Linked DNA regions of Yarrowia lipolytica. The protein of the gene in region 1 purifies or fractionates together with the protein of each later gene. This does not show direct contact. Links are inferred from orthologs where the notes say so. Each region holds a gene or a part of one and is shown on either strand. Other genes may lie near its edges. The genes, in order: YALI1_D14462g and YALI1_C11271g.

Region 1 (3,191 bases):
GAAAAGTTGAAGATGGCATGTAGGAAGGGGGTAGCATGGCATGATAGGTGCTCATTCCAAAGAAGCAAACACTTGTATCATGCTCCATCTGTAACACATTCTCACGCATGTACGACTCCCAATGTCTTCCTATTTTCTTCACTTACTACACTGTTATGCACATACTGTACCTCTCTTCATACAGTAGGATGTTCATCACAATGGTGTTCGGTTGAACTCAATCGTCTTCGGATAGCACCGCTTGAATGAGGTTGAGATGATCATACGGGGTTGAATTTTTATTCGAAAGAGTCCCTGTGACGAATTGATCAATTGATTTGCGTCATTTGTTTCTCAATCGCTCTTTCATTTACCACAATACACCTCTCTCTGCACAGCCCCTCGTTTCAGAACGGGTACCTGACATATGCAGGACCATCCATCTCTTGATACTCCTCTGCAATATGATGCAATGTGCTGGTTATACAGTATCTTCTGTGACAATTGCTGTATACGGTAGTCTATCTGAGTGGTGAGATATATATAAATAGTGGACACTGCTCTCAGTCCATCGCACTCCCCTCACAACTACTTTCACCATCACCATGTTCTTCAAGTACTACGCCACCCTAGCCACAGCTGCCACTGGTGTCTTTGCAGCTCCTGTTCAGGACTACAGCAACAGTCCTTCTGCTACGCGATTCACCCTTCGTCTTCACCCTGGCGCCGGGGCCATGGGAATGAAGCCTCTCCAGCTCAGAGACAACAAGGTGGTCTTTGGTCTTGAGAAGGGCAACTCCTCCGTCTCCCCACTTGAGGTGGACGTTAAGGACAAGCAGCTGGCTGTTGTGTCCAACGGACCCTCTGGTGGCGAGATTACTGTTGCTGCAAACGGCCAGCTGGTTGTCTCGCAGCCCTCCAGTACCTCCTCCAACTCCACCGCTGGCTGGCTCATCCAGGGAGGAGGCTCGTTTGTCAGCGAGGTCTACTACAAGGGCTCTCAGGAGTTTTACTCGTGCACCTCCGAAGACGGAGCTGTAGTCGGAGGCCAGGAGGTGTACCTTCTGGGCAGCGCTAACTACACCTGCGAGGAGCCATTCAAGTTCACTCTGGGAGCCACTGGCGTCCAACAACAGAAGTAAGACGCCCACACTTATTTATAGAAATGAATTTTACAACTCATCACAACACCACTCGCACTGTAGAGTAGACACACCACACAGCTTCATCTCAACCAATACTGACCAACAGTTCAAGTAACGTGCATCTACAACCACTAATTAGTTAAAGAACAGACACAAATCTGACTCCAACAATTATACAAGATCTGTTCAACCCGTCGGATATCGTCATTCTCCAATTACAAGCACCTCACTTCCCACACAGTCGTCGCTACGTACAATACTCCTTCACATTTACCCATCATCCTTAACATAAAACACCCCGAGTGGCACGTGACCCAGCAACTTTATTGCAGTGGAGGTGGGAGATACTATGATTAATAAGCAGCAGTCCACAACAGTCAGCTGAAGCAGTATTAGCGGTATCAGACACGGTACGGCGACTCTGACCAAACCCGCTCAATACAACATTGCACAATACTGCATCCTTGAGAATGAACCAGGTTCCGAAGACATTTATTCTCAACACATCTATTTACACCGCCTCTACGACATGTCTCGAGCTTCTCCCAAAACACCTTTTTTTAGCTTCACAGTTTCGTCAAGAGAGATACTCGGTCAAGACCTCCAGAAACCATCGGCATGTTTTTTGTTGTGAGTATGGGAAGGCGAAGCAGGCGCAAAGACATGAATGGATGATGTCAGACGGGTGGAATCACGTGTTCAGACACCAGATCGGCCCGTGATTCGATGGGCTGTGGTATGGTGATGTTCGACGACGAGAGAACGGTGGATGGTGTCATGTCCGTGGTGTTGAGAGGTGAGGGATGGAGGAGTGAGCATGTGACGAAGTCTCCTATCTCAGCTGAGTGTCTACTCGGTTCTTCAGCTGTACACATGACATAACACTTTCAGCACGGAACCACACGAGCACGAGCACCACAAGCGTGTTGTTTTATCCTACAAATTTGAAGCCTCTACCAGGCGATGGACGGGCGATGGAGACTCCAACGGAGCTTGGCACAACGAGGTTGCCAAATTTCCACAGAACTAACGCAGAAAGACTTGACGCTCTCTCTGACTCTGCATCCGTCATACTTTGGCCCCCAGATGGGCCAATACCTGCGGTCCAAGCTGCTGGCGGACGTGGAGGGCACTTGCACCGGAGAATTCGGCTACATTCTGTGCGTGCTGGACCAGCCGTTCGACATTGGCAAAGGCAGAGTGGTGCCTTCCAACGGCTCGGCCGAGTTCACAGTCAACTACCGAGCCATTGTGTGGAGACCGTTCAAAAACGAGGTGGTGGATGCGATAGTGACCAACGTGAACAAGATGGGCTTCTTTGGCGACGTGGGCCCCTTGTCCGTGTTTGTCTCGTCCCATCTGATTCCTCCTGACATGAAGTTCAACCCTAGCGCAAACCCACCAGCATACGTCAGTGAAGATCAGGTCATTGAAAAGGGAAGTCGGGTGCGACTGAAGATTGTCGGAGTGCGAGCCGACGTGGGAGAAATGTTTGCCATTGGTACTATCAAGGAGGATTATCTGGGTTTGGTCTAGTGTACTATAATACATATTTATATGAACTGGAGGTAGAAGTGCAATCACTAGAAGGAGATATGGAGACAATTACGATCGCTACAAACACGGCGATAGACTGACCAGTAAGTGGAGAAGCGAAGCAGAAACTCCTTGACTGATTTTAGCACCATCTTTTACTATTATCTGATCTCGCCGTATAGAATTGTGTATCGTGTTGGTTAATAACCACGACGCCTGCATTATCAACCTAAACATAATGCAGATGAAGAGTGTGTCATCATGACATCTCCGTCATACAACTCCGTCAACATGCCACCAACTTCTCTCGTCACCGGCTCCACTGGATTTTTGGCCAGCCACGTGGTCGACCAGCTGCTCAGCGCAGGTCATAGAGTCATCGGTACGGTTCGATCCCCCCACAAAGCCGCACGTCTGGCTGAGGCCTTCAAGCAGCAGATTGCTTCAGGCCAATTGGAGCTGGAAACGCTTTCCGACGTGAGAAACGCCGGTGAATTCAAGGCCATTTTCGAAAAACATCCCGAGATCAAG
Region 2 (3,495 bases), on another chromosome or scaffold:
GCGTTCAGTGACTTCTTCCCGGCGCTTTTTCGATGGCTCTGATTCCTGTTGGTGGTCTTGTTATCCAGGCATACATGTGCAGTTTAGGCGACACAATATGACTGAGTCTGGAGCTCTCGATCTCCAGGAGTGGCCGGTGAGATTCTCGATACGCTTATATACACAGATGTGTCCCCACAGAGTAAGGAACCAGAGAATGGAGCGTGAACCGACGATGAAAACCCTGGTTGGATCCTTCTATGAGGACAGAACCACGTCCGACAAGTGGAGATCTCCTCCCCAGAAGGTTGCAGACACTGGATCCTTACACATGCGGTCCCGTATCCATTACAACAACGGTTGCTTCAACAGACTGTCACAGACTACACCATGGAGTCGTGTCACAGATCCCGCCCATCATCAATGTGTTCGGAATCGGTCTCAAGGGACGAACAGTTGCAATTGACTCACAATACTCCCCCAATTGAATCTATCCAACATCTATTTCCAACAACCGCAATCAGACCCAAACACTCCCCCCCCTCTCCCTAATACTTCTATACATACATTCCTTACATAACCTTTGCTCCAGCTGTTGAGACTGACCAGTCACGGCTTCGTGTTCCATACAGTTCCTGGAAGACAGTCATCGAGTTAACAACAACTGGTGGGACCCACTGCGACAAACAGTCGATCAACAGTAAACCTGCATTCTTCAGATTCAATCTCCCGTTCGTCGGCTGTTGGTCGTCTAGAAATCGCCAAACAACTTTCCATACGGGTCCGGACATACAATTCCATAGTCCAGCTCCTCCTCCGGGTAACTGTCAAACAACGACGTGTCGCCCACTCCACTCTGAATGGGAGGCTCATACGGAGTCTCGATATCCTTGGACAACAACTTCTCCCAAATGACCTCGGAGAACCACGGGTGGTTCTTCACGTCCTGTGGGCCGCCCTGCAGGTTACCATATCGTCGGGTGAGGTCCTTGGTGATGAGTTTGGTCAGCAAATCAGTCACATCCGGATGCAGGTACGAAGGGTACCGCACATGACCCATGAGAATGTTCTCATACGTCTTCATGGGCGTGTGGTCGTAGAAGGGCGTGTAGCCGGTGAGCATTTCATAAATGAGGATTCCGAGCGACCACCAGTCCACAGACTTGTTGTACGCCTTTGTGGTGACCACCTCGGGCGCAATGTAATCTGGCGTGCCACACAGCGTCCAGGTCACGTCGCGGACCTCTTTGGCGAACCCAAAGTCCGTGATTTTGATGTGACCGTTCTTGTCTAGCAAAATGTTTTCGGGCTTGAGGTCTCGGTAGATGATGTTGTGGGAGTGCAGGTACTCGAGGGCGAGGGTGACTTCTGCCGCATAAAACTTGGCCACGGGGTTGGGGAACCGCTGGCTCTTTCGCAGCAGCGAGAACAGCTCGCCTCCCTCCACGTAGTCCATCACCATGAACAGGTTTTTGGAGTCCTGGAACGTCCCCCACATTCTGATCAGAAATGGGTGCTCCACCAGCTTGAGCATCCGCCGCTCGTCGTTGGTGTGCTCCACCTGCTTCATCTTCACAATCTGCGCCTTTTTCAGCACCTTGATGGCGTAGTACCGGTTGTTGTGCACCGACCGAACCAGATGCACCCGGCCGAACGAACCCGTTCCAAGCGTTCGCTGGATGGAGAAGTCCGTCAACGAGTACTTGCCCTTGGAAACCGTGCTTCTGTTAGGTAGAGATGCCATAGGTGGTGTGTAGAAAAGTCCTTTGTGTAAACTGTCGCGTATCGTCCAAGAGGCGGTGTCACGTTCGTCTCTCAAATTCAAATGTCAAAAAAATCGGTCTGTAGCTGTTGCAATGCCCGTCACTAAAACAATATCGTCACCGTGCTAACGTATCGTGCGCTGGCGTGTCCCACTGCTGCAGAGGTTAATTCCAAGGGTTAGGGTATTTTGAGGGGGAACAGGCCAGCAAGACCCAGCCGCCGCTGGAGATCGACACATGCCAGAAATCAACCCGGACTTGGCCGGCTTACATACCAAACAGTCACGTGACGACATCCGAGCGCTGCCCCTGTCTCTCTGTCTCTTGTGAGGCTCGCTGCAGCGGCGCTAATGAGGCATTACCCTCCATCTCACAGCCGAAACCTTAATATATGTCGATGCTTATGTAAGCGGAATCAAGAAAGAAAAAACATAATGATGGCTGATGACTAATGGACGGGAGCGTATTTGGTATCATAGAGTTGATGGCGATCGGGTGGTCTCAATAATGGGTTTGAAATTTCGGTGGCTTCAGTATTTGTCGAGTTAGGGTATCTTTTTGTATTTTAATCGACATTTGTTGGTGCAATTGATTTACAAGTTGCGGCATGGTTTTTTTGGAGTAGTTAGGAGTTTGGAAGTACGTTTTTCTCTCCAATTATGTCTGAATTGCGCTCTCCAACCGCTGTCGTTATCTCGCATGAATGAGATTATGAGAAACATTAAACTTCCGCTTATCTAAGCGACATGCAGCCAGGAGGGGAATAGACGGTCCAAAACGGGGTTTGGAGCTGCCAGTTCAAGGCAAGGGGTATGCAGGGTTGATTTGGTTGGCTCATTATAATGGCGGGACTCGGCTGGTATGACGAACCTGACTTTTGAGTCCAAGAAAATCGAGAAATTTGCGGAAACTGAGTAATTTGGATGAGGAAAGAGATTGTAGTTACACGAAAGATATAGAAATGGACTCTCTGAGGTGTGGGAATTGTTCTTGAAAAAAACAGTCTTCGATTTGGCCTATAATTGACCAAGCTAGTCGAAAGCGGAGACAACGCACTACCCCTGTAGCCACTGGTAGTTGTCTCGGGGGTTTGAGAGGGGGCTAGAGATGAAAAAGGAAGTTGACGGGAGTCTTAGACCAGGTCAAGAGAGTACTGGCACCACTCACGACGCTCTAGTTAGTCTGGGAGGGTGGTTAAGTACGTCTTTAGTGGGACTCTTAGAATGAACATAGAATGGTGCGATCAAGACCTACAAAGACAAGGGCATAATAAGAAGAAAGAGATTGATTCGGGGAAACAATTTAATACCATCATATGATGTTCACTGTCTTTGTAGCCAACGTAGCATCTTAGCATCTCGTTTAGGGAATCTGCCCACCATGTAACTTCACCAAATGGAGCAGACGCGAATCTAGGAACATGAGAACCATGTGAGACGCGCTAGTTCTAGGTCTAATTGCTGCCTATTCCGGTTACCGTCGCATTGTTCACAGCTTCTCATGTTTCCACCCTCGGTTGTTAGTGCAACTTTAGCTGAGGTAGGGTAAGTTTATTGGATGCAAGATAGATGTGAGCTGTGTAGTTCCCTCTGGTTCCACGTTCATAAAAGTAGGTCATGTATGGTACCAAAAGGATCAGCAGAGTCTCAGGAGTCCAACGGTACATGTTACTAAGAGTTTGGTGTCATGTACATAGCTCTACGGCTACCGAAGGTGCATATGAGAGATATTTAAACTGGACAAATCTCTCTTC

What was found.
Region 2: the proteins of YALI1_D14462g (region 1) and YALI1_C11271g purify together in Saccharomyces cerevisiae (affinity purification with mass spectrometry; 3 studies listed by BioGRID, with this or other methods). This does not show direct contact. The link is inferred for Yarrowia lipolytica from reciprocal best matches to the Saccharomyces cerevisiae genes RPB7 and TPK2.

Annotation. Positions count from the first base shown.
Region 1 is NC_090773.1:1,445,130-1,448,320, reverse strand, and holds YALI1_D14462g (uncharacterized protein), read left to right. Parts: upstream 1-2,087; coding exon 2,088-2,660; downstream 2,661-3,191. Other genes in the region: YALI1_D14477g (uncharacterized protein), read left to right, coding at 585-1,121; YALI1_D14453g (uncharacterized protein), read left to right, coding at 2,922-3,191. UniProt on the Saccharomyces cerevisiae protein: DNA-dependent RNA polymerase catalyzes the transcription of DNA into RNA using the four ribonucleoside triphosphates as substrates. Component of RNA polymerase II which synthesizes mRNA precursors and many functional non-coding RNAs.
Region 2 is NC_090772.1:1,125,393-1,128,887, reverse strand, and holds YALI1_C11271g (uncharacterized protein), read right to left. Parts: upstream 1,724-3,495; coding exon 731-1,723; downstream 1-730.